Astyanax mexicanus: one gene and its partners. The protein of the gene in region 1 interacts with the protein of each later gene in a biochemical or structural test. Links are inferred from orthologs where the notes say so. Each region holds a gene or a part of one and is shown on either strand. Other genes may lie near its edges.

Region 1 (10,655 bases):
GTCAAAAAGAGGCATCTGTTTCCTGCTTGGTGTCGGGTCACTTGTCTGGTTCCACTCGCTAGCTCTCCTAACACCCCCATGCTAGGTTTATTCCCAGCTGCCCTGGGTGTGATTTCGAACCGTTAGTTCATTCTACCAAAAATGTGTTAAAATGGGCCTCCGAGGGTGTCAGAATGCTAAGCTATTTTGGAGAGGCTCTTATTTATTGTGTGTGTAAAAAAAAAAAATAATAATGGATGGAGGCATTTTGAAAACAAAAGGCTTGAAAGCTAATTTTAAATATATATACTTACCTATACATTACTTTATTATATACATATAACATACAGTACTGTGCAAATTTTAAGTAAAGAAAAAGCTTAAAAGCTTCTTATCTGGGCAGTAAGTGTTTATTAGCTCAGTAAAACACTAGCAGTAAAACACTAGCAGTAAAACACTAGCAGTAAAACAATAGCAGTAAAACAATAGCAGTAAAACACTAAGTAAAACAATAGCAGTAAAACACTAAGTAAAACAATAGTAGTAAAACAATAGCAGTAAAACACTGGCAGTTAAACAATAGCAGTAAAACACAAGCAGTAAAACACTAAGTAAAACAATAGCAGTAAAACACTAAGTAAAACAATAGTAGTAAAACAATAGCAGTAAAACACTAAGTAAAACAATAGTAGTAAAACAATAGCAGTAAAACACTAACAGTAAACACTAGCAGTAAAACACTGGCAGTTAAACAATAGCAGTAAAACACAAGCAGAAAAACACTAAGTAAAACACTAGCAGTAAAACAATAGCAGTAAAACAATAGCAGTAAAACAAAGGCAGTAAAACACTAGCAGAAAACACTAGCAGAAAACACTAAGTAAAACACTAACAGTAAACACTAGCAGTAAAACACTAAGTAAAACACTAACAGTAAACACTAGCAGTAAAACAATAGCAGTAAAACAATAGCAGTAAACACTAGCAGTAAAACAATAGCAGTAAAACAATATCAGTAAACACTAGCAGTAAAACAATAGCAGTAAACACTAGCAGTAAAACACTTGCAGTAAAACAATAGCAGTAAAACAATAGCAGTAAACACTAGCAGTAAAACACTAGCAGTAAACACTAGCAGTAAACACTAGCAGTAAAACACTAGCAGTAAAACACTAACAGTAAACACTAGCAGTAAAACACTAGCAGTAAAACACTAACAGTAAACACTAGCAGTAAAACACTAGCAGTAAAACACTAGCAGTAAAACACTAACAGTAAACACTAGCAGTAAAACACTAACAGTAAACACTAGCAGTAAAACACTAAGTAAAACACTAACAGTAAACACTAGCAGTAAAACACTAGCAGTAAAACACTAACAGTAAACACTAGCAGTAAAACACTAAGTAAAACACTAACAGTAAACACTAGCAGTAAAACACTAAGTAAAACACTAACAGTAAACACTAGCAGTAAAACACTAGCAGTCATAATCTGCCATAATCTGCTCCGCCTCCACTCAATATGCATTTTTTTTTTTTCTGGAGCGTTTTGCTTGTGGCAAGAACGTGATCCGGTCTTGATCTGACCCAGCAATTAAATATTCTTTTTTCTTTATTAATTGAGCTAAACTAATGATTAGGCGCAGTTTAATCTGATATGTTATATATTATATATTATATATTATCTGATCAGGTAATATACAGCTATGAACAAATGCTGTCTCTGCTGCTCCATGCTGTTTACACACTAAGAGCACGGCATGTGCAGCGTTCAGTGTTTAAAAGCGCAGCAGCACCTTTTTAGCATTCTGTATTAAAGCAGCTTCACTCTGCACAGATATACCATGCAAGCACATCGTCTCCTCTGATTGGTCATATAGATACAATAGATACAAACAGCTAATTTACAAAAAGCAGAGTTTTTACAGCACTGTTTTCCTTAAAACATCTCCTAATCTCTCCTCATCTGAGTTTAATAGAGTTATTTCTAGTTCTCATCATATCAACACCTGGTTTGGTAAATCAAATCTTTAACATCTTACTGATGTTAAATCAGGTGAGCTGCTGACGGAACTGAACATATCATATGCTGGCTTGTCTGAGGGAATCCAGGAGAAATGTGGAACTAAACTTTGTTCTAAAGCTTGGCTCACAGGATATAACCTACTTAGGTAAAAATGAGAAATTCCTGTTACTTTTTAATGTATTATGTTTATTTGCATCTGTTTAAATCACATATAGTGCTTTTTTCAGGCAAAAACACTCAATTAGTGTACTTTTACACAGTACTGTACATATATAAAATTACATTGGGAGTTGACCCACAAGTGCAGTAAAAAACAGAGCTAATATAAAGCTAAAATAATAAAAAAAAAGCAGCTTCTTACCACTTTGGCCACTCTCTCCATCGATTATGTACGGATACTCCATCGGCGGTCGATAGATGTCCGTCTCATAGATCAGCTCTTCCGTCGGCTGCAGGGTGAAAGTGGGAAAAGATCGTTTTTGACCACTCAGAACGCAAAACACCAAAGCAAAGCCCCAAAGTTTCAATGCAGAAATATGAATGCAGTATATATTTATGAGCAGGATGAGAAACACGAGCCTCACATCTTTGTTTACAAGGGCCCAGTAATCTTTAAATTCAGAAGGTGTCTGTGACATCCAGCCAGTCCGGGTTATTTTCTATTACACACAGAAATTATAGTTCAGTAATTCAGTAATTTCTGTGAACAGTTCTTTATTTTTACATCCTTAAAAAATTATATATGTAAGGGTGCCACAAATGGTTTCTTGAGGGATGCCATAAATAAAAGAACCACTTTTGTCTTCAGAAAGTCAGTTTTTGTTATAAGAAATCTTTACAAGAGTGTGAACATGTTCTTTTTTATGATTTTTTAAAAATATTTTTTTTTATATTTAAAGCCCACATCCATTTTTTACGAACTATCCTTTTTTATTATTATTATTATTATTGTTATTATTATTATTATTATTATTTCTCAATGTAAACTAAAGTGGTTCTTTTGTGGCATTGCTTATTAAGCCCTTTGTAGCACCTTTAAAAAAAAAAAGTTTTTTTTAGTAGAAAAGATTGGATAAATGATTGGCTGTAATATGTTAGTTGATATATTAGTTGAATTTGTTACGAATGATTGATTGACATTGGTTGCTCGATAATGTTAATAACATTAGATTTTTAAGACATTTTAAGGTTGAAATTTGATTTCATTTAACAACATATACATATATACACGACAAGAGATTGATCACATCAAGTCATCTACAGTGGATGAGATCAGAATAGATCAGAAGAAATTGTATATTTTTTGACATATATGTGGAAATTAATCAAATGCAAAAAGTTGAAAAGTTACTGTTGTTTAAATGGAAAAGATTAGCAAGCAAACTATATACTTCACAACTGCAAGTACAAGTACAATACACATATACATATACATATATGGATAAGATCAGAATAGATCAGAAGAAATTTTATATTTTTTGACATATATGTGGAAATGAATCAAATGCAAAAAAAAACTTGAAAAGTTACTGTTGTTTAAATGGCAAAGATTAGCAACAAAACTATACACTGCACAACTGCAAGTACAAGTACAATACACATATACATACACATATATATTGCATTTTTAAACTGTAATTATTTAGCATTAAAATGGCTACACAGGCTTAAGGCCACTGTTAGGAACGGCTAAACCCTGTCATCACTTTGACTATAGCTAGTTCAAAACCCAATCTCATCAATTTCAAATTTCTACTGCGATAACTCAACACAACGCAACATCACACACACACACACTTCACCACGCGCTCACACACTCTTAGGAAAGATGGGGAATACTCACAGGTGGGATGATGTACCCCTCCATTCTGTACGAAGGCAACATATGGGGTCTTCTCGGCTTCGCTCTAGCTCTAGCTCTTCGCGCTAACCCTCTCAATGGCTTTCAAAACTGTCCCCGAGCCATTGCACAACTAAATTTCCTCTTACCAAATGAAACCAAAGATCTCGGACGCCGCTCGCATGCACACTCGCACACACACACACCCGCAAACACCTTATCCAGTGGGGGCCACACTGCTGCTTTCCAGGGCCCTTGAAATCAACAGAAAGCGGCTAAAGATACAGTCAGAGCAAGTAGCAAGTTAGCCTAACAGCAAGCGTGACCAAAAAGGACAGGGCTTTCTGTTTGTTACTTCTTTATTTTTGGGTATGTGTGTGTGTGTGTGTGTGAGTGTGTGTGAGAGAGAGCCTGCTGCTGGTTCCTGATTTTAGGGTGATGTCAGGTGGGGATTATAACTACTCAGTTCGAACAGACGCAGTGTGTCACCTCCCCCAATAGCCAATCAAGAGGCAGCTCAGCCAACACGCTTCTTCCTGTCCACCTCCATGCTGCCTGCCATTCGGCGAGCTTTAACGTAGGATGAAGGAATAATTGGTGCCACTTTAGAAGACTTTGGGGGTCGTCTAATTGGCCCGTTTTGCTGGCCGTCCCTAAACGGACCAATATACCCCAACATTCTCCAATGTTGGGCTGTTTTAATGGTTTAAAATGGATTTAAATGGATTTAAAGAAGTAGATTTAAAGAAGTGGATTTAAGGGTCAATTTCAGTATATATCAATATATCTTCCCTGTGTCTGCAGTATAGTTTACAGTTTACGTTTTATACAAACAATGTTATTATAATTTTTAATATTATATATTATTTATAACTTCCTATAAAAAAAGACCGAACGTTTGCTTGGTGTGCATTTTTTTATGTATTATATCTATGTGGAATCAGTAGGACCGAACAAGTATAAAAACGAAACTTTGTTTTGTACAGAAAGTCATTTTTTTTGCAAATCACATTGCCCTAGTAGGTAGAGAATAGTTTATTTTAACATTTAAAAATGATCCTTGCAATTTGGGATGAGAAGACCCCAATTAGTACAAAAACCCAGTATCTTATTTTTAATCAATCGAGAGTACTGTTGCATGCGACCACCAGATGGTACAGGCAGTGTCTCCATATAAGGACAAAGGGTTGACGTTTTAACAAATGTAGAATAATGATACAGAAATGCAGAAATGTAGTGTCCTCAAAAGAGGACAAAGGGTCTTAAGTGGTTTATTCTAATGGACAACAGCTCTCAAATAATGCTAATAGTGTTATGGGCAACAAAATATTTAAAAATAAAGAAAATACATGATGTCCATTGTGATGTATGCAGAGTCTGAAAGGGATAAATATATATATATATATACTACATTGGTATTAATATTAAAGATTTAAAAACTATGAAGGTACACATATGCAGTTAGTTACTTCACATACACCCGGCATAAAAACCTAACTCAGGATTTTTGGGATGAGTTAGAGCTCAGCATTTCTAAAACTCCTTTGAGACAGTTGTAGAACCATTCCAGGTTTTACTTAATGACTTAATTACTGACTGAGATAATCAGACAGGATGTGCAAAACTGGCCTTTGAGCAAAAGGTGCTACTTTTAAAGAAGGTGCTAAAGAATCTAAAGTATAAACATATTTTGGCTTGTTTAACTTTTTGTTTTTTTATAAGTACATATGCATTTCTTTATAGTTTATATATGTATATAAATATATACATTATTTAAAAAATGTAAAAAAAAAAAATAGTAAATGAGAAGGTATGTACTGTGTACATATGTGTTGTTTTATTGTAACTCTTTTAATTAAGTGTGGCAGAAAAAAAATTATAATATGAGGAAGTTGTTTAAAGATTTAAAGAAGTGAATTGTTTCCTATTGAGCTATTTAAACGTATGTGAAACAAATCTGGAAGATTTTGCCTGAAAGGTAAAAAAAAAACTAAGCTCATCCAAATATATCCTTCTTATATATTTAATAAAATGTGTGTCATAGCAATCTGCACAACAGGGTGGGCAATTTTAGTGAAAACTGACGTTTGATGAAAACAAGGTTGACCTGAATTGATTATAGTGAGCTTGTTTAGATTTAAAAAAATACATTTAGATTTTCTTAAATACCTTAGCTTTACCTCTTTACGCTAAGTATGGATAAGATAAAATAAAAATATTACTTAAATATTCACTATTTACTGTATACCTGTTTACAACTGATGCTCTCAAACAAATTAAGAGACAAGAAATTCAAGTAATTAACTCTTGACGAGTTCAGCACAGCTGTTAACTGAAAGCCTGAATTCCAGGTAACTCTACCTCATAAAGCTGACTGAGAAAATCCAGCAGATATGTGTAAAACTGTCTCTATCTAAGCAAGAGGAATACTTTGAAGAATCTAAAATATAAAACATATTCTGGTTTGTTTGAACACTTTCTTGCTAACTGAATAATTCCACATATATTCTTTCATAGTTTGGATGACTGTAGTATTGATCTACAATGCAGATTCAAAGTTTAGAATAATGAAAAAACACTGTATTGAAGGTGTGTCTAATCTGTGACTGAAATTTTACCTTTTAAACCTTATTTAACCTGTTAAAAGTATCTGTAGACATGGCAAAAAAGCCCACCCGCCCCCAAGTTTAAAAGAAACTCTATACAATGCTGTACAAAAAAGTGCTTCAAAATGATGGCAAACATTACATACCTACTATATATGTAAGACTGTGTTCATTCAGATTGAATACTGATCAATTTCCCGGGTGAAAAGGAAGTATATAGTTAAGAACACCGAAAGTATGATCAAATTAGGTAAAGAATACTAAAAGTAAATTTATATATTTAATATATTTTATGAAAATACAAATTAAATTAAACTTTTTCTGTATTTCCATAAAAAGTATTTTTAAGCAGTAGGCTTTAAATTATATGTTGTGTTGATAGAAAATATATGTAGTGGCATTAACCCTCCTATTATCTGTGGGGTAAATTTGACCCCATTTAGTGTTTAAAGTCTCTAAAAAAAAGGTTGACATTAGTTTTGTCATTTATATTCATTGTCTTTTCTTAATTTAATGAAGACAATTAACGAAAAACAAAATGTTTCAAATGTTTCAACTTTAATGTATTTTTTATTAAGGCTGTTTTATTGACATAAAACATAAGAAATATCTAAGAAATATTTGACACATTTTTGTGTGGTAATAATGTTAAGATCACTATGACATTCCATTTTAGAATCTTTTTCTAAATGCCCCTTTACTTTAGGCCCTGATTTAACAAAACATTACTTATAATACTTACATAATACTAATAAAACACAATAATGCCAGAACAGATTATATTTTTAAAAATAAACATAAAGTAACTGATGAGTAAACTTTGCTAACATGTTTAATGATCTGTAATTATGATATTTTTCTGAAGGTTTAAATTGCTGGGATCATATTGACCAGATAATAAATGGTGTTTGTAAATTTGAGGATAGCAGGAGGGTTAAATACTATTTTAAAGTGCACTTATTTATGTGAATAAGTACATTTAATTTATTTCTCAAATTATATATATATATAAGATAGTTTGAGCCAGTTTTTTTAGATTACGTCCAAATTTCCTGTTGAATTGACCTATAAAACTGCTTGAACAAGAATAAAATGAATTAAGTCATTGTACACTGAATAATTTTTCTTTTTGAGTTTATAAAATGTTTTGTATGACAGCAACAAAGTTATTGTAATAATATATTATTGTTAAACAAAAAAAAGAAATGGCAAAAATATACCAAATATATTAAATATTGCATTAATTGCATTAAAAAATAAAGCTCCATTTCATGCACTTATTTTCATTTCCAAAATGCACTTGTAGAATTCATTTTAAACTCTTTGTTTTGAGTTAAACTGTAGTTAGTGAACTCAGAGCTCTCTCTCTCTTGGCTGCAGACGATGAGTTATCTGAGAGATAAGGTAGTTGGTGAGACTGTCTCGTATCAGTTATAATCTTCTGGAGCAGTTTCACCAAGACAAGAAGTGACAGTAGATAGCAGGTCTATATGTAACTCTGGCTGATTTAATCAAACGGCTGTGGTAAAGATACTTAGGAAGAATGTCGTCGGTGTCAGACAAAAACCTTGTATCTCAAAAATGGCAACTTTACAGTAGAAATAGCCTTTTTTTTACACTGAAAATCACAATGAAAAGAATTGGTAGATTCTGTCAAAAAGGGGGAAAAGGCAAAAATGGAGATACATGATAAAATGCATTTAATGCAAATAATTCTGGCTAAAATAGTATAGAGGAGGATTCTCTTCAGGCCTGACTGAAGGTCTAGGACTAGGTTTAATCCCTGTCTGGAAAACTGCTTAGCAGGTTTACTTCATATCAGTTTAAAGCAAAAAATCATCTGAAGGCATGTATCACTTAGGAATTTTTGGAAAGCTTGGCAGCACTAATTAATTGTTTTATAAATGATCCTTTATAAAGCATTACTACACTACTTTATAGTAGCTGATCATCCTCTTAGGTGAATAAAACTCTAAAATATAAAAAATCTAAAAAATGCTCTGAACCAAAGAACATAATACTTTAATAATGGTCAAAAATGAGTTTTTTTTTATACTGTACATTCCATGTATAAATGTATAATTAATAGGTTATCAAACATCAAAGTCTTTCAACTGATTTAATCAAATGGCTGAGGTAAAAAATACTTAGGAAGCATATCGCCAGTCTCAGACAAAAAACCTTGTATCTCAAAAATAGCAACTTTACAGTAGATTCTCTAGTAGATTCTGTCAAAAAGAGAAAATTGGCAAAAATTGAGATACAAGGTCCTGTATAGCAAGAATCACATTGTGCAGCATACTGTACAAACTGAACTGCATTTAAATGTATTGAAAATGCCCCAGTATATTGTTTTCTCCATATCAGTTTAAAGCAGAAATTCATCTGAAAGCATTAATAACTGCCAAGCCCCCAAATGTCCTTTAGCCTTCTTATATTAAAATGTAGCCCATAGAAAATGTTGCAGACTATTGTGGTTTCTTTCATAGTAAGTGATGAATGCATGTAACGTACATTAAGTATTCACAGCACATGTAATTAATTACATTTTAATTTAACTCAAAAACGGCAACTTTACAGTAGAAATAGCCTTCTTTATGCTGGAAGTCACAATGAAAAGCACTGGTATATAGTACAGAGGAGGATTCTGTTCAGGCATGACTGAAGGTCTAGGACTAGTTTACTTCACATCAGTTTAAAGCAAAAATTCATCTGAAGGCATGTATGACTTCTAGGAATTTTTGGAAAGCTTGGCAGCACTAATGAATTGTTTTATAAATGATCCTTTATAAAGCATTGCTACACTACTTCATAGTAGCTCATCATCTTATCCTCTTAGGTAATTTAACTCTGGAAAACCTGAAAAATGGTCTGAAACGAAGAACATAATACTTTAATAATGGTCAAAAAATATTTTTTTATACTGTACATTCCATGTATAAATGTATAATTAACATTAAAATCACACATCAAACTCTTTCAACTGATTTAATCAAATGGCTGAGGTAAAAAATACTTAGGAAGCATATCGCCAGTCTCAGACAAAAAACCTTGTATCTCAAAAATAGCAACTTTACAGTAGAAATAACTAGTAGATTCTGTCAAAAAGAGTACTTTAGTCTTCTTATATTAAAATGTAGCCCATAGAAAATGTTGCAGACTATTGTGGTTTCTTTCATAGCAAGTGATGAATGCATGTAACTTACATTAAGTATTCACAGCACATGTAATTAATTACATTTTAAGAGGAGGTGATTCTGATTCTGTTCAGGCCTGACTGAAGGTCTAGGACTAGGTTTAATCCCTGTCTGGAAAACTGCCTCAGCATGTTTACTTCATATCAGTTTAAAGCAAAAAATCCATCTGCAGGTATCCTTTATAAAGCATTATTACAGTTCCTCACAGTAGCTACCTCAACTGATGTAATCAAATAGCTGTGGTAAAGATACTTAGGAAGCATATCGTCAGTGTCACCCCTTGGCCCTACTCCTTGTTTTCGAATGAAAACCTTGCCCTTGGAACAAAGTTAAAAGGACAAAGGGTGAAATAATATAAAGTTTTTACAAGCATGAACACTGCTGCAGACTGTGTGTGTGTGTGTGTGTGTGTGTGTGTGTGTGTGTGTGTGTGTGTGTGTGTGTGTGTGTGTGTGCGTGCACATGTTTTGAGGTTTTTGCATATCAAAAGTATGTCTCAGCAGGCGAGCCTGCATCACGAGCTCAGCAAATCTGATGAATGGTGAAAAACTTGTGAATGTTAAGCAACATTATAAACAAGTATAGAGAGAAATAATGCTTATGATTAAAAAATAACAACAAAAACAAACTATCTAGCAAAATCTGATCTGATCATGAGTATAAGAACAGCTGATGTTTTGATGTTTTAAATAGAAAAGTTTCTCACCACTGTCAGGCCTCTCAGAGAACCATGTAAGAACAATAATAAATAAAATATTCTACTCACACTGATTGCCCCTTTTTATTCTCTATCCTCTCGCTTCAAAACAGCAATATTTCTGTATCAACCATGTGTATACATCTCAAAAAAAATTAAAAAAAATTTAAAGAGAACACTTCAGTTTCTGAATCAGTTTCTCTGATTTTGCTATTTATATGTTTATGTTTGAGTGAAATTAATATTGTTGTTTTATTCTATAAACTACGGACAACATTTATCCCAAAAATATTCTCATTTAGAGCATT
Region 2 (10,883 bases), on another chromosome or scaffold:
TTCACAAATATTCCAGTCAGTCAGAGATTTTTTGGACGGTATGTATCAAATACAAATGTATAAAGTTTTTGTTTATCTATTTGACATGATGTAACTCTGTGTTAATCAACAGTGCAAATAAAAAAAACTTCTGTACAAAATCAATTTCAAGTGTGTAGAATCTAACTTTTCTGTACTACTTATTTATTATTTATATACTCTAATTAATTCATTATCACTGTAATTCTTTAACACCACAGGCTATCCATTATCAAACTAAAACTTCCAAGTACCACTACAGGTCATTGAAATGAAACATGAATGTGCCACACACACACTTATACAGTAGGCTAGATGGAGCATTTATTTTGCCAGCAGTTCTGCCACTTGTGTGGAATTTGTCCACTTTTGTCATTTGCAGGCTAGCATAGTAAAATAATCATTATTGTTGGTGAGTACAGTAAACATTCTGTGATATCCTGGAAAGCCTAAGACAGAGGAACATGACAGGATTGCAGTTTAGTGAACTACAGAGTCTACATGACATCCCATTAAATCCTAGATGAATTATTCAGCTATTATTCTATTATATGGTTAATCATACCTTGTTGAATTCCACAGGGGACAATTACAAGGCTGTAGTTATGAATAAATGTGTTTGTAAAAAAGTATAGACTGATATATGTACTATGTTCTTAAAGCAAACAAATCTAATGTTGTAAAAATGGAAAACTTCATGGATTTCTATCATGAATAATTTCATCAGCAAATGTTCTAATGTAATCTGGGATACACCTTGGTATGCTTTATGTACCACCACTTTTCACAATCTGAAAACAACTAATCATTAACATTTTACATCCTTTGCAACAGTTAACATTTTTACATCCTAAGATTAGAGTGGGGTAAAAATGCATAATATTAATAGCATTTTATGCAAATTTAGGCATCTTAAAAAACAATGCATTTAGCATACACATATACCTACAGTACTCTGATATATGGTATATATGTGTAGGTTTAAAAAAACATAAGAATGTATTAAATTCAGTGGTGTGCAGTAAGGCCCTTCTAATCCTTCAGAGAAGGGGTGACAATAGGTGCATGTAAATCACTACATAATATTTCATCAGGAAATATATATTATAGTTATTGTAAACTATAAGCATATATTTTATGATTAATTAAAATAAAAAACAGCAACTAATTCCTAGCATTAGTCTGCGTTTTTTCAGTTGCTACAGGACTCTTATCTGACTGACAGCAGTTCTAACCAATCAAAACTGCTTTTTAAGATGGCTTCTGCCCCCACATGTCTGCATCACCCTTCTGCTGATTTTTTGAAGAGTGTAGTAATGAGTATATTAGGAAAGTTGCAGGACAATTCAACCAATCAGATTCATGATTGGACGGGGGACGTGTTGCAGAAGGGGTACCCACTATATTAACTGCATGCCACTGATTAAATTCCATTATAGCTAATACATATTGTCACATATTAACATAAATAACAGATATGTCAACGATCAATTGTCTAGCTTCAAATTAGGGCAAGCATATTTCAGCCATATTTTAAAAAATACATACATACATGTGTTAATATAACAAAACATCTCAAATTGAACAAACGTTATGCTATACTTCATGCCAATAGATTTCTGTTACATGTAAAGCTTTAAGATTGGCACTAATGTAACTGTGTGCAAGCATGAGAAATCACAAGAAAGTTTATTTTTCATGTTTTTATTAAAAAATATATACACTATATACACATATGGTTTAAAGACCTTTCACCCAAAACACAAGAGCTTATTGTAGTCTATTATCTTGTAAAGTTTGCATAAAAACAAATATGCTCTTAACCCTGAATGTGTAAATAACGGAACCTGTCAAATGTCACATTAAATGAGATTAAATTTGGATATGTATGTACAAGCTACAAATCTTGAAAGCCAAGTAAGGAATAGTAGCTACTACAACAACACAGCAAAAGCACTGAAAACTAGCACTGATTTTTACATTTTGTATGTGGGATTCTGTTTACATCTTTACAGCTACTAAAAAGTGTTGGGTTGTTTTGTGACAATGAGCTACAGTACAACTGTGAGTAACCTCAGTGAAGTCCATCCTAGCGTAACTGAAGTAAGAGTCTCTTTCAAGGAAAACATCAGACGTGCGAGATGATGGGTCTGTTGCCGTCCTGCAGGTTTTAGGATACGGGCTCTTTTGAGAAAGGCTTTGGGTGATTTAAGTTCATGGTTGAGGATAGAAAAATGTCTCCAGGTGGAGAATGTGAGGTCAGATGCAGAAAGTTCACACAGAGTTTCTGTCAGTGTCTCTCAGAGAGGACAACTGATCTGTGGGAAGCTGTTGGTGTGCTGGTTGCTGTTCCACAGTTCTGTGTAGCTTAGCATGTCATCACTGGGAAAGCCTGAGCTCAGTTCTGTGTAAAATCGCAGCTCTATCTCCTCACCTGCAGGAATACAAGATGTTTCACATTAGTCTTGGAAGCTCATTCAAACACAATGTGGTGATCTATCTGATCTCATTAGACTAAGGCCTCCTAGTGAGTTACTTTCATTAAATCACCAAAAATCTTATCTGAACGTGTGCTGGTAGACAACACATAATGCCTTATTTACCTGAATTATCACTCCACTGGCTCTCTGGACTGTGGAAAGATTCTGCCATGCCTACTTCATTGCACAGGAACCCCTTTCCACTGCTATTGCTTTGTAGCCACTGCGTGCTATCAAGTTCCAATTGCCGTGTAATCTGCAGGAGCAAAACAGAAAATTTGTAAGCGCTCGCCAATTTTACAAATGCCTGGAAACAGGCCTTTGGATGAATTACAAAACAAGGGTATTCCTGACAATGAAAAAGCACAATGGACAGACGAATTTGACATAGAACCAAAGCCAGACTCACCTCAACAATAGCTTGGTTTTCCTCGTAGTCTGTGAATGGCAAAAAAAAACACATGGAATAAATATGAGAATATGACCAGTCATCATTTGATAGGACTGTAAAAACAATTAAATGTTTTTTATTTTTATATACATAAGAAATAATATAAATACTTATGTTACCTGTTGAGTGAACTGGTGAAACTTGAAACCTGCTGGTGTAGTCGTTTGTGCTGTCAGGGCCAATTTCCACTTCATAGCCGGAGCAGTCCGGCACCTCAAAACTGGAGGGAGCGGTGCCTTAAGAGAAGAATGTCCACATTTAATAGGGGGCTCTCATCTATCATAGAAGACATTTAATATAGCCGTAGATATTACAAATTAAAGAGGGTTTGCCTCTGAGGAGCTTACTTAGATTCTCAGTGCTGTCGATGGTGTTCTCCTGAGTGATGGTGTCCTCCTGCTTGCTGTAAGTTGTCTCTCCTGTCGATGATTCATCTATGTTCATTGTCTCCTGCTTCACTTTCGGTGCCTGAGGAGGTAAATAGTGCATGTGAGTTTAAATTTTACTGCCCCAGTGCTTGCTTTAATTGCTTTGTTATTGTTTGTTAGCCTGGTGCCATTACTGCACCTTGCCACCATGGCGCCAACGCCTCACCTTTCTCCTCCTCCTGCCATCCAGGGTTCCTGACAACCGCTTGCCTTTGTTCTTCATAACGTGCAGCATGCGGTAAACCCGGACAGCCTCGCAACCTTTGTTGATGCTTTTGTCTTTCACCTCCTCGATGTCTGGCAGGGAGTTCATGGCACAACGGAAATTGGCTTTCCAGGTTTTGGGATCGGGTTCGGTCACCCCCTCCTTAAACTTGCCTGCAGGCGAGGAACATATTCAGGTTAACAAATAAAGATCTTGCCAACAAGGTTCAAGGTCCTTTTATAGCTATTATATTCTTGCCAGCAGTGGCACCTCACCTGTGTGAATGGCCCACTGTTTGAACAAACAAGCGTCTTTGTCCACTTCCCAGCCGTGACGGGCAGCGTGCTTCCAAGGAATGGAGAACATTTTCTGATCCTGAAGAAAACAAAAACAATGCCATGAGAGGAATACTGTACATGATACTAAGCTCACGAGGGTTTAGGCAGTGACTAGTCTTAAATATCAACAAAAGCACTTGAAATCTCCTAAATATTCTACCTTGTCCACCCAAACGAGTCCAGCGATGGTGTTGGAGTCAATCTTATCCTCCAGCCAGGGTCGCATGCGCATTCTGGACACGGGCATGATTCCTGCAAAAGTCCAGACAGGAACTTGAGTTCAACTTTTTACAATGCCTTGCATGCTTAGCTTATCATGCACAGCAGATCTGGCAGTAACAATGGCAGTAATAATCAGGGAACAGGGAAACACAGTCTCTGTAAATATTTCTATCCTTAAGATATTAAATTACTAATGTATATTGGTAATAACTCAATGCAAACAGCTAGTACTTTACTATGGGATTCCGTTAAAAACACACAGTCACAAACTGTGCAGCCTCAAGTTCCAAACAGCCTACGCTGTGAGAGTGAGTGTACTCCTGCACGCACACGCCCCTTTTCCGGGGTAGCATGTACAGTATAGTGAAATCGAGCCTGCTACAGATACAGAGCAGCTGCAGCAGCACAAGGGCAAGCTGTATATATGTACGTGTGTGTGTGTGTGTGTGTGTGTGTAAGAGATCTATATTAGCTATAAAACACTTTTCTAAAATAAAACAATAAAAACAGCCATTTAAAAATAAAAAAACATTCAGACTCACCTCGTATTTAATCCGATTTATAACGGAGAAGAATGTTGAGTGATAATGTGTTGATAATCCGAGTTCAGCCTGAACTTCTTCTCTCAGTGGAGATAGGAGTGCTTTGCTGGGAGCTCGCGGTGCGCTCTTCTTTTATACACAGTAGAGAGGGGGGGGGGGGGGCTTTCCCAACGTAATGTTTTGGCAGCGCGGCGCGCATGCGCAGTTCCACTACCATGCAGGCGCTCTCAGACTGAAGCAGCATGATTTCCGAGAAATCACGCTGTTAAAAGCTACACAGCTCGAGAAGTTTAGGGGGTGATGATGTTTGGGCTTGGCTGCATCTTACCCTTACCACCACACAAGCGCACGCGCCGGCACGTAAACAGCACATGCACGCGCATATTTCTGAAAATTTTAGCCCATATAAACACCCGTCTTTTTTGTCTCTTTCGCGTAAAAAAAAAATCTCCCAAAACTGCAACTTTACAGGAGATGCAAAAAAAAACATTTTTAATAAATTCAGTTTAAAACTATACATATATTTTTTTCAGTCCATTTCAGCATAAAATTTGTAAAGAACTTTAAAGAACAACTGCAACTTCACATTATGTCACATGAAAAGCCCTGCTTTATTTACATGTAACTTATATGCAACATAACTGATGCTTATTTATATGTTTATTATGTGTGATTCATATTTTATGTATATATGCGTTCCATATATGAATATTATTTTGGCAGCAAGCAATTAACATATAATTCATAAAAGTATCTAATTTCGCATAAATACTAATCTCATTTTGATCTAATTGATATTAGTGCTGAAGTGTTGAATGAAGTGTGTATGCTGTCTGTAGAGAAGGGTAGAATCAGGTCAGATAAAGAAAGCAGCGGCTTTCCGGGAAATGGTGCAGATTTTTACAGAGCCGATAGAGGGCGCATCTGCGCTGCTTCACTGATCTGAGGGGAGTTTTTACAGTAAAGCGGCCTGTTTATTAGAAACGGATGTTTGGACGACCGGCATTTAGAGAACGCAGCCTGACCCCAACCCTACACACTTTCTACAGCTTACACACGCATATACCTTTCATTATTATTATTATTATTATTATTATTATTATTATTATTATTATTGTTGTTGTTGTTGTTGTTGTTATTATTATTATTTCAAAAATATATTATATAAATGATGTACTGTGTAAATCTCCTCAAAAATAGTAAAAAAAAAAGCTTAGAATTAGCATTCTCCAGTTCAGCACAGCAAACAGACGCTGTTCGAAATAAATTTTAAAATGAATATTAAAACCCCATGGTAAAGTCGATTTATCACGGGGGTGTCAGTGAATCTGTGTGTGTGTGTGTGTGTGTGTGTGTGTGTGTGTGTGTGTGTGTGTGTGTGTGTGTGTGTGTGTGAGACAGTAGCCCCGGGCGGTGGGGCGTGGTCAGGGCTGAGGGAGGGGCGGGGCTTTCCTGTGGGATTTCTGTTCTGTAAAGCACTGGGTTTTCCCAGAGCGCAGCCAGCGATATTCCCCACGAAATCCCACTCCAAACTACAGACCAGCTCAGCGGATATTAAGACCATGTTGTACTTTGTCATTACATGTCGCGGAGTTTCTAAAAACGTATATTAACAAAATAAACAATGGAACCCACTGACACTGCTGATAAAAAGTCAGATTTTTTTAAATATTAAAAGTTGAATATATAGAATTCCCTTATGTGCAATATACTTATGTCATATATTTTATTTAATATATTTTAAAATGTGACACATGCCGATGTAATGTAATTGTCCATTTTCAAATACGAAACACATATTTTAGCTATAAATCAAAATATACAATACTAAGTACCAGTACCAAAAGTTTGGATACGCCTCTTCTCATTCAATGTGTTTTCTTATACAATGTTATTTTAATATTTACGACATTAGCTATAAAGGAACACATATGGAATTATTTAGTAAAAAAAAAATCGTTAAAACAGAATATGTTTTATACGTTAGATTCTTCTAAGTGGCACATTTGTCTTTGAGGACAGATCCGCACATTCTTGGTATTTTAATCTCAGTGTCTTCATGAGGTAGAGTTACCTGGCACACAAGAACAGTAGCTGCTTCTCTTCCTTCACGCTGTTTTAATGTATTTTATAATAATCAATGTACAATGCTGCTATAGGAATAAAGTACATTTAACAATATGAGTCAGAAATTCATCAGTTATTCAAAAACCTCGAAAATAATATTCAGTTGGAGTAAATTTGGAGCATTTTGATTGATCCATTAATTGTAAAGATATTGATAAGCACGGTGCTTACACGACAGTAAGGCAAACTATTTAATTATCAATATATTGTTGTGTAATATACAGTATTGTCGATATTTATTCATATATTCATATTCATATATTCATAATGGTAAAAATAAGTTATTTAATTTCGCGTTTTCGTATATAACTTATTGTATACCTAATTTATACTTTAAAATTACAATGTGTAGTTTTAAAAGACATCTATTAGATCTAGATAAGGTTTGAAAGACTGCCTGACACACAAACACACACAGATAGACAGACAGGCGCACATACACAAACTCAAAGCACTCACACTCATATGTATCCCCCTGTATAAAGGGAGGGGCAGCTTTGGCCACAAGCGGCTTGTGTATGAGCACGTGCTCCAAATCTGCAGCCTGCCATCTGCTTCCACAGCCTCGCGCTATTGGATTGAGCATAAAGCCGCGGGAGTTGCGTCATCAGCCGGTCCGTCCCCTAACAAATACCTCCCACCACCCCCACTCCGCTCACAGGCCCCTCCCCCATACCCCCAGTCCGCACACAGACTCCTCCCCCACACCCCCACCCTGCTCACAGGCTCCTCCCCCACATCCCCACTTTGCTCATAGGCTCCTTCCTCCAAACCGGCAAACCTGCACTCCACTCACAGGCTCCCCCCCCACATCCCCAATCCGCTCACAGGCCCCTCCCCCACACCCCCAGTCCGCTCACAGACTCCTCCACCACACCCCCACCTTGCTCACAGGCTCCTCCTCCACACCCCCACTCCGGTCACAGGCTCCTTCCTCCAAACTTTCACTCCACTCACAGGCTCCTCCCCCTCATCCCCACTCCGCTCACAGGCCCCTCCCCCACACCCCCACCTTGCTCACAGGCTCCTCCCCCACAACCCTTACTCCGGTCACAGGCTCCTTCCCCTAAACTTCCACTCCGCTCACAGGCTCCTTCCCTACACCCTCAGTCCGCTCACAGGCTCCTTCCCCACACCCCCCTCCCCTGCGCTCACAGGCTCTTCTCCCACACCCCCACTCCACTCACAGGCTCATCTCTTGTAGACTTTAGATTCTCTGCCCAAGCCCCCATTTTTCCCCACCACTTTCCTTTGGCCCTGTCAGTTTTAACCATAGACTGTGTATAGCTGGACAGAGCATCATCTCTCAAAAGTGAAGCCACCACAGGTCGGGCGCCCCCTGCTGTTCGGTTTCAGAAAGCTGTGTAACTCCACCCATTCCCATAGGTTTCAATGGAAAAACAGACAACTTTCAATCACGTTTTTTTTCTAATATATTGTAATTATACCTCCATTATTTAAATGCAACAGCTAGTGTAACCTCTGCTTATATTGTCAATTTTTTTATCCCCACAGAATTCGTTTTTTAAAACGTTAGCTCTATTCAAAAAGGTGTGGTTATTGTAAAAGGCCTGGTTATGGGTGGGACCAATAACCTGTGACCAGGGTGGGGTTATTCAAATGAGTAGGAGCTCTCCACAGTCTTTCTCCCTACTCTGGTCTCTACTGCGCAGACTCGGGTTTCAGGATCGGGTTTCAGGATCGCAAACATGGCTGAAGATTTTGGCTTCATTTTCATTGAATGAATGAGAACGGTACGGAGCCCGGGAGGGGCCGTGGATAAAAAAAATAATAAAATCGAGTGAACGATGTAGCAGTTCGTGCTCACGTTTTCTTTAATTCGAGTGAACGATTTGCAATTCGTGCTCACGATTTCTTTAATTCGTGCTCACGATTTCTGTAATTCGTGCGCACGATTTCTGTAATTCGAGTGAACGATTTCTGTAATTCGTGCTCACGTTTTTATGCGCAATAAGACAAGAAGCTCGGAGGGAAAGGAGCATTTTCTCTCTTGATCTGTTACAGGGGTGCAGTAATGATAATCAGTTATCTACCTTTATAACCTGCTGTTATTAATGCACTAGTGTTACAGTTAGATGTACAGTACAGTGAGCAGATTTTGCCTGGTGGTGGAATCTCTACAGCGCGTGGGGGAGAGCCGTCCGCGGCATCGGTTCCCCCGCCGCCAGACACCTGCCGCGCGCGCAGGTCTTCACGGAGCTTATTTACCAACAATGTAGACAAATACAGTCAATTCCAGTCATGAATAAAGGAAACAAACATTTTACTGATGCAGGACAACTGTGTGTTATTAAAACCAGATCAAAACAAAGTTATAATGCAATGTGCAAATGTGTTTATTAATTTCTAAATAACATTCAGCCAGCCTCCAAGGAAATGCACACCTTCTTAAATCTGGTTACATCATTATTACTTTTATGATAGATTTAATCTATATTTTAATAATTTGTATAATAAATAAACACATAATTCAGAAAATATACATTTAAGAAGTTTATAATTATTATATTTTTTTTATTTGAAGCTTGTGGCATGTTTCTGGGCAGGACACTGTGATTTGAGAATAAGCAGATATTCAGGACATTTCATCAGATATAGAAACTTAATTATTTTAGGAAACATATTGAAATAAATTATCAAATTGATCCAAATTATTATATGAAATGCCTATTTACTAAATATCTTAATACATTGTATTAATAGTATTTTAGACCAGCTATTTTGATTTTATATAGTGTTACATATTTAAAGCAGCTCTTATATGAGCCATTCATAGACAACTGTCACACCTTGCATTAATTTTGTATTATCTTTATTAACTTTTACAGTGTACATTTGGACCTAAGTCTTATAGCTGTATATTTATATAATTATACTTCTTTACGTTATACTATTGTTGAAAATAAGAAATTATAAACAGTTCCACATTGCATTATAACTTTGTTTTGATCTGGTTTTAATAACACACAGTTATCCTGCATTAGTAATGTTTGTTTCCTTTTATCATGACTGGAATTGACTGTATTTGTCTACATTGTTGGTAAATAAGCTCCGTGAAGACCTGCGCGCGCGGCAGGTGTCTGGCGGCGGGGGAACCGATGCCGCGGACGGCTCTCCCCCACGCGCTGTAGAGATTCCACCACCAGGCAAAATCTGCTCACTGTACTGTACATCTAACTGTAACACTAGTGCATTAATAACAGCAGGTTATAAAGGTAGATAACTGATTATCATTACTGCACCCCTGTAACAGATCAAGAGAGAAAATGCTCCTTTCCCTCCGAGCTTCTTGTCTTATTGCGCATAAAAACGTGAGCACGAATTACAGAAATCGTTCACTCGAATTACAGAAATCGTGCGCACGAATTACAGAAATCGTGAGCACGAATTAAAGAAATCGTGAGCACGAATTGCAAATCGTTCACTCGAATTAAAGAAAACGTGAGCACGAACTGCTACATCGTTCACTCGATTTAATTGTTTTTTTTATCCACGGCCCCTCCCGGGCTCCGTAGAACGGTGACACGGCGTCCATCTTTTTTTACAGTCTCTGGTTTTAACACTCTACTTACAAAAAAGTGGGATTTAAATCGGGCTTGTCCTCATAATGACAGTTTGTAGGACGGGACCGGACAGAAAGTTCATAGGTTCGATTAAAGTCAGGCTGGATTTTTTTGGACCTAAATTTAGCTCTAATTGCTTGTCATGGGCTTTGTTGGTTTTTGTCTCCAAACATGCCCACCACTATTCCCTTAGTCCATTTCCACACCCTCCCTGGTTTGCCATTTATAGATAGAAAAATAGTGTGCTGCAATCATGGATGAAAGCATAACAAACTGTTTTAGCAGAAGTTGAACACAGCCTGTAAAGCTGCATAAAATGCAAGTAAATATGATGATGGAGTAGGAATGGAGATTGAGTGATGGAGATGGAGTTTAGAGCTCAGATAAACCCGGAAGACAGAGCCACAACTAGGTAATTTATTACAACCACTAGTGTAGTGTAGGCCTTTTTATTTATTTCAACATTTTAGTGCTCGAATTCATACTTG
Region 3 (10,136 bases), on another chromosome or scaffold:
GGTTTTCCCTTTTTGTGCACAAGGACGAGCGATTGAGAGACTGACTTGTTGTTTTTAAAGAAGCAATGGAACCCAGCCCTGTTGTTGAACCTAAAATGGTACAAGCTCTGTTGTCAGAGTACACTGTAAATTATTCACACCTTTATAGTACAGAAATTTGTACTTCTGTTCTGTGCAAATCTTATGTTATTAAACACTATTTATGAACCGTATTCATAAAAGAAAGGTTTCTTTTACTAATCCATGCATTTACTGCTTCTGTCTCTATAGTACTGGCTACCAACTCTAAAGCATCATAGGCTTTGTTCAGACTGCTAGCCCAAATCAGATTTTTGGCATATCTAGAATGTATTCAGGCAAGTAATCAGATCTAAAACACATTTGTAGAGGGTTTGAAATGTGAAATGTGATTACAATTGAATTGGATTCGGCAAATGTTAGTTACTGACGCAACCTCTTTACCACATGAACTCATGTGCAGAATTTTGTGATGTTCAGAAAAGCAAATCCTGTCAGATCACTTGCAAATAACAGTGCAGAGAGTCATCTCAATTATCTGATTTGAGAAACAAATCTGGCTTGCTTGCTGGCTTTCAGTATCTTTGTGCTGGGATGCATTTTTTAAAGAAACCCAAATGGCTCATTATAAAAATACTGTGCCTTTTGGCCCTAGTAAGTTTCAGACTATTCATCGTATTTATATGACTATTTTCCAGATTAATCACTTCATGGTGAGCTGCCTGGCAGGGTGGACAATTGCAAAAATTGGCATTTAATGAAATGTAGGTCAACGTTGTTGACCTAAAGTTTACATGTTTTAAAGATACATTTTGATTTTCCTTTGTGATATTTTACCATGGCAAGGTGAACACCTTAAGCTTTACTCAGCTAAATAAGTAGACAATAGGATAAATAAGTGAAATTAATATTTTTAAATGTTAACATGCAGTAAGTGTCTTCAGTCCATTGGTTTTGGGAAGAAAGGTACTGGGGCTTATGCTAACAATTGTTAAGTAATTACTTAATTCATATTTAGTTATGTGTGCATTGATGCTTAGCAGTATGTCACTAAAATGAAATATTACTGTCTTAAAGGTTTTTGCATTGTCCCAGGCTGGGTGAACAGGGAATTCTCAGACACTTAATATTTTTATAAAAATACCTAAATAAATATTTTAAATGTCCAAATTATATATAAAAGCATAAATAACCAAACAATTATTTAACTTAACCAGGCAACACTGAAAAAAAAACATACACAGAAAACTGTATAAAATGTACAACAATTTCTCTATTTATATTAATGTTGTTACTTTAGAGTAGATCTTAAAAGATTTTTACACAGAATTTTGGCCCAGGTGTTCGTAAACAAGGTGCGTGACATGTTTTATTCCTCAGACACTGTCCATAGGTCTACAACAGTGGTTCTCAAACTGCTAATCAAGGCCAGTCCACATTTTTGGTCAGTCTCCACATGTTATTGGTTGGGCCTAAACAGAACCATGGAAAGAACCAGGTCTTGGGGGACCTGAAGACCAGTTTGAGAAGACCCCGCACAGCTGAAATAGAGGAGCATTCTTTGCTTTTCATCATTACAGTGGATGCCATCCCCAGCTTCCCCCAGCTCACAAAGCCTGTATAAAAAAGAACACCTCCACCTCAGTGATGAACAAAACCTCAACCTGTGCTCACATCCTGAAACGAACCAAGTACATGTGACCTCCACTTTCCAAGATCCGCTTTTCTTGGTTTCCAGATGATATTTAACTTCCTGGCTACAGGTTAGACTTCAGGTTGGCATGAAAGATTAACTGTTTCAGAACATGATCACCTACAATCACACTGTTATATTCCATTACACATTGTAGACTTGGGCCTATATCGGCACTACAGCCATTTTTTTGTTTGTTTCCAGAAAATGATTAGGCCTTTTCCTGGATTCGGCCTGTCACGATAACCAACATTTTTTGGATAATGTCCCAGAATTAAATGCAATAAACTATAGAAATTTCATCTATGACCATTTAGTGCCACAGAATTATATAACAGTATAATATCATAATAATGAATGCATTCATTTTAAAGAACAGTAAGTATATAATTTTGTTTTGAACATTATCAACAAACCAGGACATTCAGGTTAATGGTCTCTTCTCATTAAGTAACCACAAAATGGATTATATTGAGGTCAGCTAAATTCATTGAGGTTATGTGCATATATTGTATGGAAAGTCATAACATAATTATTGTGACAGGTCTATCATGGACCATGTTTTGCTTATAATAATATAAAAATATTATTTAAATCAATGAATGTAGTCCAAAACTAGGCTTAATTCCTGTCTAGAAAACCAACACTAGATGTCCAGAAGTTTTTAGACTAGGCCTAAATTACCTTTTTCTGACGATATGTTGTCCAAGAAATAATGAGATAAACAATACATTGTCATTTATGATCATTTAGTGCCAATTATATAAGGATATCATGATATAATAGGATATTATTGCATTTACACATTACTTTTAAGGGGCAGTGAACTTTATTCATCCGTTATTATACCCTAAATAAAAAACATAAAATAAAACCACTGTTTAATCTAAGTCAACAAACAATGACATTGTTTAAATGGGATCTTCTCAGTAAGTCAGCACAATAATTAATATTGATTTTAGAAAAATGTATTGTAATGTATAAAATGTAATAAAATATCTCTATATTGTTGATAGTGTAATTATTGTGAAACCAATCCTGGACAATATTAAGCTTGTAGTGGAGAATCTTCATTCAAAATAATTTATGTAGTCCTACACTAGGCTTGATTCCTGTCTGGAAAATAAACACTACATGTTTTTTTTTTTTTTTCGATAATATTATAATGTCCCAGAAATTACTGCGATAAACAATATTATTTTCATTTAAAATTCATTTACTGTCACTTAAATTCATATTATAATATAACTGCATATTAATGTATTTACACATTGCTTTTAAAAAGCAGTGAACTTTTTATTATTGAGAATATTTACATTTTGGAATTTGAATGTGAACATGCTTAAATCTCCTAAATAGGTAAAGCAAACATAAAATAAATCCACTGAGCTTTATTGAGGCCAGCAAAAACGATTGAGATCATGTCCATTTAACGTAGGATAAGGTGATAATATAATTATATTAAAACAGGCCTAACCTGAACTATTATTCACTTATTCCCCATTCAAAATGATGAATGCAGTTCGAGACATGGCTTTAAACCTGTCAGAGAAACCAATAATATCTCCATAGGTTTGTGGGCACTTGTTTCTCCTATGTTTCTTCTGTAATCAACAGTTTAAAACAAAGTTTATTCCCCTTTAAAGCAATGACAGCCTCCACACTCTGAGACGTGTGGCTGGTTTAAGTAGTGGGTAACATCACCACCTTACCTGTGGTAGACTGGGGTTCAGTTTCCTGGCTGGGAAATATCACCCCTGATGTGCACGACTCCCACACAACACTGCATTCACCAACCTGTGTAAAATGACTCACATGTATTTCACTCATTCAAATGCTGTAAATAAATGTCTTCTGGGAAGGCTTTACTGTACAAGTGAGCACATTGTTGTGATTATTTGATTGCATTCAGCCAGTCCTCATTTTAAATTCATTCACTCATACAGCCCAAATATTTAAATAAATACATACAATTAAATTAAGCCTATAGGGGCAGTTTCTTATACAGAAATGAACCTAGTCTAAGCCTAAACCTAGTAAACAGCATTTTGAATGGAGATTGGAAAGTCATATAGCTGTTGTCCAGTGATTTTTTTTTTTCTATTATAGCTGCTTGGTACACTGTGTAAATAATAATATGTAAGTATCCATAGACAGATTTAAATGCTCATATTTTAGCCTACATGGAATAGCCTCTTTTTTTACTGACGTTTATTTAAAGATGTGTGCCTTTTCATGTAAAATCACCATTTTGGAGATTTTGTGGGTGTTGTTATTGGACAGTGATGGTAATCAGGAAAAGTTTTTCCTTTATCCGCTCTAAGGAATGTGGAATAGATGCATTGTCAGTTAATAACGTGTAATATATTTTTGTGATGCAAAAATTGCTGGCCAAAACTGAAACCAAACAAAATTAAACATTGGCATTTATAGCATTTATTTTCACCATTGCATATACTGTAATCTAAAATATATATTTTTCTCATTTTTTAGATAGAAAGAAATTACAAAACTACATTTTTTCTCTTTTGTTTAAGTTAATTTGTACAAATGTACACATTTTGTATAATTTCTGGTTCCTGACTGGACCTGAAGAGCTTAAATGGCAAAAAAAATTGACCAGTAGTGTATGTTTATTAATTTCCATTCCATTCATCATGAAATGACAATATTATGTAAAGAACAACTTGCAGATTCACATTATGTATATAAAATGACATCTGGTTTAAATAATGTATCATGACATTAAACATTAGGGATGTGGCATATAGTATTATACACAATAATATGGATCATTATAGTATGAAACAATACAAAACATCTATATGACTATAAGTAATATAGATAGTATTTGTTTTTGCTATTTGCTTTGAAGTGTTGACTATATAATTTTGTTTGTTTATGTAGACTATAGACTATATAATTGTTTGTAATCATGTTACATTAAATGTTTTGTTTGTTTTCACCTCTTTTTAGTTCATATTTACAAATGTATACATTTTGTATTTTGTCTGGTTAGGCCTGTCACAATAATTACATTATCGACTTATCAAACACTAAATGCACACTACCTTAGTAATATTTGATAATTGTGATATTATCTGTTGTGTTTATTTGAATATTTGTTTACATATATATAGCAGAGAACAGTATTTTAGCTAATAATGCTGTAAAAATATCTTCAATAACTGCAACTCCATGCACACGGTGTGGACTGCAGTAGGTAAAGAAAAGAGTATAAATTTCCCAAAGTTTGATTATTTGAAATTTTGTTGTATTTAAAATGGTATAAATGCTTTGTATGAATGTCATAATATATATCGTCCACAAAAAATGCTATCATGACAGGCCTATGTCTGGTTATTGACTGGATCTGAAGAGCTTAATTGGTAAAAATAAAGTGGAAAAATGGGGGTTATCCAAAAAGTTTTACTGGCAGTGTATATTATTTATTTATGTATTTATAATTTTCATACTTCTGTTTCTATTTTATTTTTTTATTATTTCATTTTACCCTGTTTTCAGTTATCAGAGCATGTCACAGCTATTTAAGTGAAATAACCTTTATTTAATTGGATTATTTAGCTGTGAATTGATTCTGAAGGTAAAATAAAGGTGCTGTGAATATTTACAGTAAAGGTTTTTAAATGAGAGAGTAAATCAGCTGGATCCAGAGGCTGGTTAGATGAGTACATGCTGAAGGTTGTAAAGTCCCTTTTCCATGGAAGTGAAGCCCACCCCAGCCGCCTGAGAACCTCCGACTGAGGGAAAGGCGATTTCTTGTAAATGCCTCCGCTTCTAAGAAGTTTTCCGTGCTGGAGGCGTCACGTCGGTGGGCGTGTTTTGATTGGATGCGGGGGAGCGGGGGCGTGGCCACGAGCTCCATTCACACAAAATGAACAGACATACTTTCTTTCCCCCAAAATAAATCTCCTCAGATCTTCAGATCAGCAGTCAGTGCAGAGCATAGTGATCACTGAGCCGAGGTGAGTAACCCAGAGCAGAGCTGCAGAAGAGCGGAACTACAGATATTATTGAGTAGTATTGAGTATTCAGTGCGTCACTTATTGAATCCTGTGTTTTGAATGGGTTTAAAGATGAATCCAGGAGGGCGCAGACTGAAGCAGTGGCTGATCGAGCAGATCAACAGTAATATTTACTCTGGGCTTCTGTGGGAAGATGAGTATCACACCATGTTCAGAATACCGTGGAAACACGCTGGAAAGCAGGACTACAACCAAGAGGTGGATGCGTCCATTTTCAAAGTAAGCATCTCTCTTTATTAAAACAAAAATGTATTTTTCTCATTTGTGGATTTTAGATATCACTTTATTTATACTATAGAGAAATTCACACGCTGCAGCCACACAGAAAGCACAGAATATAATACAAAAATAGCTTAAAATATATAATAAAGACAAAGAAATGTCATATAAAGTTTGCAATAAATTATCCTATATAATTTTTATGCAGTATTAAATGTTTTAAATTGTGTTCAACACAATCCAAACATTGTTTTAAAGTTCAATTTAATTCCTATAGACCACTAAAAAAATAATGAGTTTACCAAATTAAAATCTCTGGAATATAATCAAGAGGAAGGTGGATGATCACAAGCCTTCAAACTAAGCTGAACTGCTTGAATTTTTGCACCAGGAGTAAAGGCATAAAGTTATCCAAAAGCAGTGTATAAGATTGGTGGAGGAGAACATGCCAAGATGCATAAAAACTTTTAAAACACAATGAATATGAACTTGTTTTCTTTGATTTATTTGAGGTATGAAAGCTCTGCATCTTATTTGTTATTTCAGCTCTGGAACCTCTCAGAATGCAGCTCATGCTGGCTGCTTAAGCACACACTACTGCCATCTGGTGGTGTTTAAGTGCACTGCAGATAGCAGACGGACTAGTTTACATATAAATAGTTCAGTGGAAGAAAAGACTGCAGCAGTAAAATCCAGTTATGAAGAAGTATTTTAACAACACCTAGGAACTGATCTCTACTAATATCTTATTTATTTATGCATTGAATCAATGTGCATATAATCCTTTATAGACCTTTCTATATATGTTAATGCATGTGTGCAGTAAGTGCACCCTCTTTTAAATAGAATTTAAATAGAATTGTAGTGTTGTGAATATGCCAACATCAGCATTTGTAGAGTGATTTAAAGTAATGCACATTATATTATTCAATTAAAGCATCAACAATCAGAGAATACACAAACAAGATTTTTTTCTGTACCTTACGAAAAAGTCAGCAGATTTGTATTGTAGTTAATATGGTTACAGAATAATCCACCCTATTGGAGATGTTAATGGACTAATTACAATAAAACTGCATAAAAAGTGTTGTAGGCCTTTTGTATGCATGTGACATTTAAACACATTGTGCTAATTACATTATTTGCAGTTAGTTTACTTTTATATAATTTATTACAACAATATCATAACTATATATATATATACATATTTAATACCTTGGTTCCTCTAGGCTTGGGCGGTGTTTAAGGGAAAATTTAAAGAGGGAGACAAAGCTGAACCGGCTACATGGAAGACCCGGCTGAGATGTGCTCTGAACAAGAGCCCCGATTTTGAGGAGGTGACAGAACGCTCACAGCTGGACATCTCAGAGCCCTACAAAGTGTACAGGATTGTCCCCGAGGAGGAGCAGAAGTGTAAGTGTGTGTTTGAGACTTTTCTTCATATTTAAGCTACAGAAAAGTTCACTGTGTTCACTCATATGAGCCTAATGCATCTTTCTAGTGGAGTAAAATTAATTAGAGCTTAGAGGCTTTTAGGTAATATCTGTTTTGACCAAAGATAACATAATTATGTCTTTCTACAGTGTGTAAAAGTGCCACCACTACCTTGAACATGAGCTGCCCACCTGAAGGGTCTGAGATGGAGTGCAGTCAAGCAAATACAGACCTAGACAGACTCATTAAAGAGGTGAGAGCTTTAGTCCAATTTCTGTAATGGAATTGGCATTAACAATACCACTATTTTAAAATAGCAGCTATACAGGAGAAGGAAAATACATGTAAAACATTTTTATGTCATGTTTTTAAACAATTTTCGAGAATTTCTATTGGTCAATTCATCATGAAATTAAAATATCATGTATAGAACAGCTTCCACATTTACAATATATATATATGAAATGGAAATACAAGGTGCATGCTCAGTCATCTGGTTTAAATACTGTATCATGACTTAATTAATTAGGGATGTACCATATACTTTTATACACAATAATATCATAATTTTTTTTATAAATATAAAAAAATATATAAGACAATAGTAATAGATTTGCAATTTGCTGTAAAGTGTTGACTATATAATTTTGTATAATTGTTTGTTTGCAGTTTATAAGCATGTTGCATTAAATGGTTTGTTTGTTACATTTGTTAACATTGGCAACAATATATTTTGTCTTATTACCAAGAGCATTATTACAGCAAAATATTCTAAAACATTGTGATATTTGTTTAGGTCCATATCACCCACCCCTAATAAATATATTACTACATTACTATATAGTTCTGCACTGAACTGAACAGCCATTCTTTTAATATGTGCAGACACCAAGCGACGAATACATGAGCATTATCAAGAGGAGCCATTCTCCAATAGATGAGAACAGCAACCTGCAGTCCCCGCAGGAGTGGTGGCACCAGGGCTCGCCCAGCGGTAAGACCATTATGCTCTGACCAAAACACCCTTACTGACATATACACTGCGTGGGAAAACGGGAACAAACTACCACAGACAGTACAGTTTAATACGAGCAATCTAACTCCCTTTTTTCCTATAATTTAAAGTGCTGCCTAAAGTTCTGATGCATTTTCTTTGTTAATGGACCTGTAAAGCCGCCGTCAGCAGGTTTCATTGTTACTCAGTTGTGTGAAAGGCATGGTACTGGTCTACTTAAATAAGAGCTAAAAAAGCTTGTGTTCAGTTTTGCATGCTAAGGGAGACAGATTGGCTAATTTCCGTTAGAACGTTGCTGACTTAGCTTCTGTCTTTGTTGGTCCCATGAGCATTGGCTAGAAGAGCTGAATAAGATTTTGCTGCATGAAATTATGTGTTAAGGGTCACATTTTTTTAAATGCGGAAAGTGGAAATCTACTTCTATGTTTCTGAGTAACCACAATAAGTCACCCAGCAAATACTTTACATTAATACTAACTAAATCCTTCAGTATCTACTCTGAATTATTCAGTAACTACTATACATTATTAGTTTTCTCCTATGTATTGATAGTAACTACTAGAAATTATGAGCAGCTACATTACATTGTACAGTATCTACTGTAAATTATTAATAGCTACGAATAATTTGTAACTGTTTATTCAGTATTATTCAGTAACTACTATATGTTTTAGTAGAAACTTTCAATTATGCAGTTTCTACTATAAATGTACTAAATATACTATTATAAATTGTAAGTACTCTAAATTAAGAGCGGGCACACTACGAGCAGGCACACTACGAGAGCAAACAGGAACTGAAGCTACACCAGACTGCGCTTTTTACTCCATTTTAACTGCAGCTACGCTGTAAGAGCAACAGCAAACGCGCTTTTCAGGGCGCTTTTTCGGACAAGGCTGAGCGATTCTCACTTGAGCGGGGCGTGGCAAACCCCCTCATTCACACATTCTCTGTCTACACACCTCAGGGGCGTTACTCACGCTTTAAAAGACAGCCTGGTGGAGCTGATTTCCTATATCGCCCGCACCTGCGCGCAAATTCAGACTCCTATATCGTCACTCACACTCGCCGAGGCGTCAGCTGTTGTGTGAAGACCCTCTCGTGTGAAGACCTAACTCGGGTAAAGACCTGCGAGTCTACCTGCGCGAGTCCACCGAGCAAGGCCACTGACAAGGCAGCCCGTCCTACTGCCTCACAAAATGTGCTCCCATCACATACCTGTCATCTCCGGTACGCACAGAAGGCGTAAAAACACACATAGGCGCCAGGACCATACTAACCTGCGTCCTCTTAAGCAAGCCACGCCCACTACTACCTCATTCTCTGTTGGGCTGTGGAACTGCCAGTCGGCGGTTAATAAAGCAGATTTCATCGCCTCTTATGCAAATCATCTCTCACTACAACTACTGGCTCTGACTGAAACCTGGATTAAACCTGAAAACACTGCTACTCCGGCGGCACTTTCAAATAATTATTCCTTTACCCATACTTCTCGTCTCTCAGGACGAGGAGGTGGAACTGTCCTATTGCTCGCGAATGGCTTAAAATACACTCCACTATTACCTGCAAACTCATACAACTCGTTCGAGTATCATGCCACACTGGTTAATACTCCATCAAAACTTACTGTCGTTGTCATCTACCGTCCTCCTGGATAAATGGGCGAGTTCACGCATGAACTTGACATGCTACTGTCTTCTATCCCCGAGCA

The links.
Region 2: the proteins of spi1b (region 1) and irf1b form a complex in vitro, tested with the Homo sapiens proteins (2 studies listed by BioGRID). The link is inferred for Astyanax mexicanus from reciprocal best matches to the Homo sapiens genes SPI1 and IRF1.
Region 3: the proteins of spi1b (region 1) and irf8 form a complex in vitro, tested with the Homo sapiens proteins (3 studies listed by BioGRID). The link is inferred for Astyanax mexicanus from reciprocal best matches to the Homo sapiens genes SPI1 and IRF8.

What each region holds. Positions count from the first base shown.
Region 1 is NC_064430.1:7,876,262-7,886,916, forward strand, and holds the start of spi1b (transcription factor PU.1b), read right to left. Parts: upstream 4,296-10,655; 5' UTR 3,893-4,295; coding exon 3,851-3,892; intron 2,667-3,850; coding exon 2,592-2,666; intron 2,457-2,591; coding exon 2,369-2,456; intron 1-2,368. UniProt on the Homo sapiens protein: Pioneer transcription factor, which controls hematopoietic cell fate by decompacting stem cell heterochromatin and allowing other transcription factors to enter otherwise inaccessible genomic sites.
Region 2 is NC_064424.1:38,522,723-38,533,605, reverse strand, and holds irf1b (interferon regulatory factor 1b), read right to left. Parts: upstream 4,812-10,883; 5' UTR 4,685-4,811; intron 4,173-4,684; 5' UTR 4,168-4,172; coding exon 4,081-4,167; intron 3,958-4,080; coding exon 3,858-3,957; intron 3,756-3,857; coding exon 3,544-3,755; intron 3,418-3,543; coding exon 3,297-3,417; intron 3,186-3,296; coding exon 3,069-3,185; intron 2,937-3,068; coding exon 2,908-2,936; intron 2,755-2,907; coding exon 2,622-2,754; intron 2,453-2,621; coding exon 2,319-2,452; 3' UTR 1,707-2,318; downstream 1-1,706. UniProt on the Homo sapiens protein: Transcriptional regulator which displays a remarkable functional diversity in the regulation of cellular responses.
Region 3 is NC_064416.1:12,909,799-12,919,934, forward strand, and holds the start of irf8 (interferon regulatory factor 8), read left to right. Parts: upstream 1-5,519; 5' UTR 5,520-5,697; intron 5,698-5,808; coding exon 5,809-5,976; intron 5,977-7,205; coding exon 7,206-7,389; intron 7,390-7,559; coding exon 7,560-7,663; intron 7,664-8,295; coding exon 8,296-8,404; intron 8,405-10,136. UniProt on the Homo sapiens protein: Transcription factor that specifically binds to the upstream regulatory region of type I interferon (IFN) and IFN-inducible MHC class I genes (the interferon consensus sequence (ICS)). Can both act as a transcriptional activator or repressor.